2 linked regions of the Sus scrofa genome follow. The protein of the gene in region 2 interacts with the protein of the main gene of each other region in a biochemical or structural test. Links are inferred from orthologs where the notes say so. Each region holds a gene or a part of one and is shown on either strand. Other genes may lie near its edges.

Region 1 (3,651 bases), on a different chromosome or scaffold from region 2:
TAAGTATACAGTATTGTAAGTGAATCACATCAGCCTATGTAAAGCTTGAAATTCTGGCAGATGGAAAAGAACTTTGAGGAAATGACAGTAACTCAACCCATTGGTCATGGAAGAAATGACTCTTCAGCTGCCTAGGTGGTAATCACCTGGAATACAGCTTATTCCCGTTAGACGTCCATCACCCGAGTAACTAGTAATTTCACACTACTTAGAAGAGGTTGTTCTCTTTTCCCTAATCAGTCTCCACATACTGAAATCAGATTCATGCCAGCCATCTATTTTATGCAGGATACTTATAAATCTTAGGAGGATTGTCCTAGCATGGAGCAGATGATAGATTAAACCAAGTCTTCCATAATTATCTGGGTTAAAAAGCTAGATTTGGGAGTTTCCATCGTGGCGCAGAGGAAACGAATCCAACTAAGAACCATCAGGTTGTGGGTTCGATCCCTGGCCTTGCTCGGTGAGTTAAGGATCCGGTGTTGCCGTGAGCTGTGGTGTAGGTCGCAGACACGGCTCAGATCTGGCGTTGCTGTTGCTGTGGCTCTGGCGTAGGCCGGCAGCTACAGTTCCGATTAGACCCCCAGCCTGGGAATCTCCACATGCCTTGGGTACAGCCCTTTTAAGGGCTGTAACAAAAACTAGATTTATGATCTGTATGGTTTATATCACCAGGCTGAATTTCCTGGCTATTTGTTAGTTTTCCGTTTTTGTGTGGTTGGAACAAGAATATGCTTTCTTAAATATATTTTTCATTGAGCATCTGTTATATGTAAAGCACTGCAAGGCTTATAAAGATAAGTAATACTTAGACCCTACTATCAAGGATTTCACAGTCTGGCCAAGGGAGAGGCGTGGTGAGGGATAGACAATTACATGTGTTGTTAAGACTATATAACATAAGATAAAAATAATTTGGTTGAGGAAAGGTCAAACCAAATGTCAAAATGGTTCAAAGAAGGGAGAAATCACGTTCCACTGGGGCGAAAGAACAGGCTTCTGAAAAGAAATAGTGTTGAAGTGTACCTTGGAAGATGGATAGATTAGATTCTCATAAAAGAGGAAGGCAAGAAGGGCATTCCATGTCAAAGGAAATACAAGAGGAAAGGTGTGGAGAGCTGAATGGAAAATGCTTGTCCTTTATTTAATAACTGGGGAAATTCCTTTGTTTTATAATACTTTATAAAAATGTTTAGCTTTGCAGTTCCTGACCCCTTAATGCCTGACCCTTCCAAGCAACCAAAGAACCAGCTTAATCCTATTGGTTCATTACAGGTAAGTGGCACAGCTTTTCCATACTTAACTTTCTGTCTACTGAAAAAAATGTTGATATTATCACAGGGGTCAAAAAGGAACTCATATTTTTAAGATTAGATGGTATAATATTTTGTGTTCCAAGTTATGGTCATTAGATATTAAAGCATTAACTTGAAATTATTTTCCTATTTAAATATTTACATTTTGGATTTTCTCCCATATACAGTATCTGCCTTTGGTTTGTGGAATTCTCATTTGAGATCAACAGGACCTCAGTGCACATGGGTAGAGTGTTTTATATTTTTAGAATATTTCTTGCCACTCTTGTGACAAATCTCTCTACTTCTGTTGAGACAGAAGACTTTGTAAAGAACCCAAGTTGAGTTACCTAACTCAAGAAAAAGGAAGTTATCTGCTTTTTTGCTAATTCTACCAAAACAATATATTCAGCTTTGAATTTGTGTGTGCAGAAGATCCTTCTTACGGATTATCCATGTGCTCTGTTGGACAAGTCCCCTCCCTGTTATCCAACCAGTCTTGTGGTCTCTTTCCTGCTCTAAGAGTTTTTCTGTAGTTCTCTTCCCCTTTGCTCCTCACATTGTTCGGGTGTGTGTGTTTGCTGTCTGCTCATCTGCTCTTGATCGAATGCAGTCAGTTAGGCAGCTGTGTGTATGGAAGGTTCTAGCTAGAAGGGGAGGCTTTCGGAACTGATGGCCACGAGTCCTATAGATGTTCTCTTGGATGTTCCCAAAGTGGGTGAAAGTAACTTTTCTTTCGAATTCTTTGATGTCAGCTCACTACAGCCTAATGGGAGAACATCCTTCACAGCAGGAAACTGCTTCAGTTTTAGGATTATGGGCCTATCAGATAGAAAATGTGGAATATCTCTGGGAAATAGAGGGTCTTCTCTCATTTTTTTGTTGCCGAATATCATTATTCTTTGCAAACATGTAAATAGAAATGAGAGCAAAATCATGAAAGAATATGTATGTGATTGAGCCATTACATAGTAAAAATGACTACTAAAGCCTCATCTCAATTTTCTAGGAATTGGCTATTCATCATGGCTGGAGACTTCCAGAATATACCCTTTCCCAGGAGGGAGGACCTGCGCACAAGAGAGAATATACCACAATTTGCAGGCTAGAATCATTCATGGAAACTGGTACTTATTTATTCTTACCCTCATACAATTGAAGACATTTGAAATATTTTGAGATGACAAATGATCATAGAAATTTATGCTGTGATTTTTCAAATATTCCTCTGGAGAAAAAAAAATTGACACACTCCTAGTCTACTGTCTCTAACTTTCTCTAGTTGAGTCTAAGTGTAAATATTTGGCTTAAGAATACTTGTCGTAGAGTTCTCATTGTGGCTCAGCAGGTTAAGAACTCGACTATTATCCATGAGGATGCCAGTTCAATCCTTGGCTTCACTCAGTGGGTTAAGGATCTGGCGGTACTGTGAGCTGTGATGTAGGTTACAGACGCAACTCGGATCTGGCATTGCTGTGGCTATGGTGTAGACCAGCAGCTGCAGCTCCAATTTGACCCCTAGGAACTTCCATATGCCACAGGTGCAGCCCTAAAAAAAAAAAAAAGAAGAAGAATACTTGTCCTTCTTATTTTGTTATTTTTTAAAATCATGGGTTGGTAATGGAAAGACAAATAATCAACTATTTAAACAATCTTTGTTGATATGATAGTGACTTAAAAGTCATTTTGGAGAAAAAAGCAGTAGTAAATATCTTGGAGTTTCAATAGCTATTCTAGAAGATAGGAAGACTAGGAGTAGATATTTTTTTTCTTTTTAGGGCCGCACCTGCAGCATATAGCAGTTCCCAGGCTAGGGGTTGAATGGGAGCTACAGCTGCTGGCCTCTGCCACAGCCACACCAGATCTGAAGCTGCATCCTACACCACAGCTCACGGCAATGCCAGATCCCTAACCCACTGAGCAAGGCCAGGGATCTAGTCAGGTTCTTAACTTGCTGAGCCACAATGGGAATTCCGAAAACAAGATGATTCATAAGAGGCTGATGGCAAAAAAATTGCGATGAAATAAAAATAAAATAGTAATTAACCTTTTGAATTACAGCAACCTCTGTGCTCTATAGGCCATAAACTATGAGAAAAAAAGTCACTTAATAAAGCGAGGATTCCTTAATAGTGAGGATTCCTATTTTAACTTCTCCAGCCTGTTTTTATCCTTTTTAAAGTGGCTTGAAATGGATGTTACCTTGGGTGGATATTAGTTTCAAGTAATAGGCAAGCATTTGCCCTCAAGGTTCAGTGTGGGCCAGGGCAGAAAACACTGGGCCAGAAGTAGGAACCTCAGCTTCCATTCTTTTTTTTTTTTGACCATTTCTTGGGCCACTCCCGCGACATATGGA
Region 2 (4,408 bases):
TAACCACTGCGCACGATGGGAACTCCCGCATATGCACACCATTGTAATGGAAAAGAATGTCAATGAGGACCTGCTGTTAGCACAGGGAACTCTACTTAATATTCGGTGATAAGCTATAAGGGAAAAGAATCTAATAGAGAATGGTTATGCATATATGTATACCTGAATCACTTTGTTGTACAGGAGAAATTATCACAACATTACAACTCAACTACAGTTCAATAAAGCTTTAAAAGAACAACAACAAAAATTTATATAGTATTTCTGCTACCCTGTAGTATTAGACTCTGCACCTGATTTTTGCTCTATCAGCCCTGAGGCTTACAAGAAGTAAGAAGATTTTCCCCTCAACCATAAAAATTTGTGGCCTCTGACCATGCTTGAGCTTGTCATTTTCTTTCCTTAAGCTCTTGGACAGTTCAGAGGCTTCAAAAAGTCAGAAAACTTGTCATTGCTACTGCCATTGTGGCTGTCACAGTCACCCCACACCCACGAAGCTGGTAAGTGGACTCCTTCAAAGAGCCACTAAAGCTAGAGCTTTTTGCGACCTCAAAGGGCACAGAAAGATGGCTCTGCCTCCTACCTGCCTTCCAAACTCCCATCAGTGTGCCACATTGGGGGAACTTAAATCAAGGAAAATGCAGTGTTTAGCCATTGATATCCTGTCATACAGGGGGTAGAAAAGAGAAGTGGGAAAGGACTCCTGGAGTCAATGGCCAATAGGTAATGTGTACCTGAAGTCCACCTTGGGACCACCTCTCTTACTCACCCTAGCTAGGATGCTGAGGTACAGACTCTTGGTTCTAATTCTGGCTCCTCAGCTTACTAGTTGTTACTTCTCTGTGCCTCAGGCCTGTTTTCTCATCTGTTAAATGGGCATAATAATGGACCTACCTTGCAGAACTGTTGTGAGGTAAGTCCTCAGCACTCCTCAGTCATTTGGTCGAGGCACCAGTATTACTTTGGGAAGGTGTCATAGTCCATTAGGTGAGTAGGTTTTTTTTTTTTTTTTTTTTTTTTTACAAATCTGGGATTTCTGGTAAGAACTTTGGTCGAAACCTCCAGGAGGTTGCGCGGGGAGCAAGTGGCTCTAACTGATGGACTGGCTGGTACAAAGGCTGGCAAGTATCGTTGAATGAATGGATGGATGGCTGGAAACAGACTGAAGGGAGATTATGCCAGCAGACCTCTTCATTCCCAGCCTGGTGAATGTGAGGAAGAGGCAGGGTGCTTTGGTGGTTAAGAGTAATAGAATCCTGCTTTGTTCTGGGACAGTTAATTTGCTCAGTTTCTAATGTAAAATGGAGCTGATGACATCCTTCCCCGCAACGCCGTCCCAAATGTTGCGTTGAAGAGCCCAGTTCAGGGAGCGCCCGCCACGCAGTGGGCCTCGGAGACCTCAAGGTCCTCCCCACATCCCGGCGGACTGATCCCGCCACGGGGGCCGGAAGCAGCATGAGAAGACCAGGTCAGGCCGCAGGGACCCGGACGCGCTCTACCGCGCAGCAGCGGCCGGCGGGTGCCCAGCAGGCTCCGCACTGCCGCCCGCGGGAACTCCGGGTGCAGGCGCCAGTGGCGCGCGATCCCGGAGCCTGCGCGGACAAGTGCTGACTGGTGCGGGAGGGGCCCGTGCGGCGGGGGAAGAAGGCGGAGTCCGCGGGGAAAACGAAACTGAGAGTGAGCGGCCCAGATCCCACCAGGCTTCACAGACTGCAGCAGCGCGGGTGAGTGGCGAGGGGCCGACAACCAGGAGCCACAAGGGCGCTCGCCATCCTGCATCCCCAGCCTGGGACTGGACCCTGGTAAGACCCCTGACCCCTGAGCCGCTGCATTGGGAGCGCTGTCCGAGGCCTTAGGTGGGGCGTTTGCTGAATTTGGGGAGGGACTATGCAGCGCGGTGGGAACCAAAGCCATTCATCTCCCGCGAAGATCTTTTTAGCAGAGCAAGTAATCACTTGCCCAGACGCAGGCTGGGGGCAGGGACAACCAGTGGAAAACGAAAAAGCCCCATCCTTGAGAGACAACAGATGGGAGATACGGAGGCCTGAATTGCCCAAAAAATTGGCTAAATAATCCCTGACCAAAAGTCTTTTGCCTGGACTGTCGCAACTGTTTCCCAAAAGCCCATCTTTAGCCCCCCCCCCCCAGCTCCAACTCCATTCCCACCCCCACCCCCGCACCGCCTCTCAACACCACGGGAACCTGACTTCACGTCCGAACAAGACAACCCCTTTCTGCTCCCCAGTAGCTTCCCATCTCATCAGAATCCCACACAGTGTTTTTTAGTGCTCCTTCCATTCTTGACCACGCAGGCCTTTTTGATGTTCCTGGAGCACAGCTCAGCACTATCTGCTGCCTCTAGGCCTTTGCACTGCCTGTGTCTTCTTGGAAGGTTCTTCTTCCAGATACCTGTGTGGACCAGTCCTTCGTGTTATTCTCACTTCCTCCAATATCACTTTATCAGAGCAGCCTTCCAGGAACAACCTGCATGTGAAAGAAGCCCCACTCTTCCCTTGCTGTCCCCCTTATTCTGCCTTGGTTTTCAATATAGTACTTATCATCCTGTGACACTTTTTATTGGGTTTGTCCATATGCCTCCACTAGTAAGTTCACAAGAGTAGGGTTTTGTTCACTAGTATAACCTAGTACATAATAGATATTCCTTATGTCTTTATTTAATGAGTGGTAGTTAATACATTCTCTTTTGAGTTCCAGAGTATGAGACCCGCCAATCAGAAGTTAAGAGACTCCCTGCTGTCCCTTAGGAACTTAGAATCTTGAGCAGTTTATGCCCTTGTTCTTCTCTTTCCGTATTTGAACCTGAAGATCCGTAACACTGGATGTGTAGTTTATTCATTTAATTCATCAGGTACTAGTTGAATGTTGTTTGTCAAGCAGTGTTCAGACCCTGGAGGGGGCTTGACCCGTAAGTGTTCACAGTCTGCCGTAAGGGAATCAAGGCACAGGCAAAGTAACTTTTGGGCAAGAGTAAGATGGACACATAACATTTTTAGTGATTATGATGGAATTTTCTTTTAGGAAAATGGTAACATATATTCAAATGAGATGTAGTTGAAAGGAAACCTGCTGTTTCTTTTTTTCCAAACTCATAAGTACTTATTTCAAACAGGCCAATTGAGCACCTTATTGGTTTACACCTATGTTTTGCTTAAATTCAAACTGGCTTGTCATTTTGAACATCAGCAGTTATGTAGAGGTAAAAGTTCTGTGGATTTAGGGCATTCCATGGAACTTTGGTTTAAATAATTGCTAAGGACTCTTCCATAACTGGTGTTCTGAGATCTATGGCCTCCTGCAATTGGATGCATGGTCTCATGGTTGTGACTAAACTAAATGACACTTTGGTTCCTAAAAATAATGACACAGCTGCAGATCCTTATCTGAAACCCTTAGGTCAGGTATGTCCTGGTACTCAGGGACTTATGGATTTTTTAAAAACTAGTAAGTAATTTAATGCTCTTAGAGTGGAGCAGCAGTCTATCATAAAACATTTCTGCAGTGAAATGTATAAATGTTGTCTGCAGACAACAAAGTGTGGTAAAGACTCTAAATAACTCATGTTAGTTCAGGTCTAGATGGGGGGCTACACACTGACCGAAACCAAATCAAATGAAAATAAAGTAAACCTCAGTTTTCAGTGCTTTTTGGAATTGGGGATTGTAGGCCAGGAGCACCACTCACTGAGGGGCATTGCTGTGGGAGACCCTGCTGGATGCTTTTTGTCTGATTGACTCTTCACAACAACCTGTGAATCAGGTGTTTTCATTCCTCTTTTCTGGTCACAAATTAAAGGTTAAGAAAGGTGCCTATCTCAGATCTATGTGGCTTGACAGCCTAGCTCTCTCTATAACACTAAGTGGTGTTGCAAAGATGGTGCCTTTGCTCAGATCTAAGCCCTTCCAGCCACCAGCATTGCTCCCCTAAACCACTGCAGCAGCCTCGACTTAGTCTCCTGACCTCTACTCATGCTCTGCTTGTTTTTTCCACAACTGCCCCCATGCTCTGTTCTCTGCATAGCATCAGATTGATCATTAAAGACATAAATCCAATCACATCACCCCTGTGCTGAGAACCCTCAGCTTCCCATTACAAGTGGAATAACATCCACAGTTCATTCATGGTCTGTGTGCTGTGGCACCTGCCTCCCTCTCTGACTCACTTCCCACTTGCTCCCCTTGTTCACTGTGCAGCAGTCTCCTTGGCCTTTTTGCTATCTCTCCAGAAGCCATCATGGTGCCCGCCTTAGGGTTTCCTCTGCCTGAGATGAACCCCCCCCCCATATCTAAGTGTGATGGGCTTTCTCATCATCTAGGCTTGATTTAAATATTGCCTCCTAAGAAGGGCCTTCCCTGACCGCTGTATCAAAGCATCTCCCTCATATCTCTGC

The links.
Region 1: the proteins of EIF2AK2 (region 2) and PRKRA form a complex in vitro, tested with the Homo sapiens proteins (3 studies listed by BioGRID and IntAct, with this or other methods). The link is inferred for Sus scrofa from reciprocal best matches to the Homo sapiens genes EIF2AK2 and PRKRA.

What each region holds. Positions count from the first base shown.
Region 1 is NC_010457.5:84,146,466-84,150,116, reverse strand, and holds part of PRKRA (interferon-inducible double-stranded RNA-dependent protein kinase activator A), read left to right. Parts: intron 1-1,196; coding exon 1,197-1,275; intron 1,276-2,304; coding exon 2,305-2,422; intron 2,423-3,651. UniProt on the Homo sapiens protein: Activates EIF2AK2/PKR in the absence of double-stranded RNA (dsRNA), leading to phosphorylation of EIF2S1/EFI2-alpha and inhibition of translation and induction of apoptosis.
Region 2 is NC_010445.4:103,039,553-103,043,960, forward strand, and holds the start of EIF2AK2 (interferon-induced, double-stranded RNA-activated protein kinase), read left to right. Parts: upstream 1-1,476; 5' UTR 1,477-1,802; intron 1,803-4,408.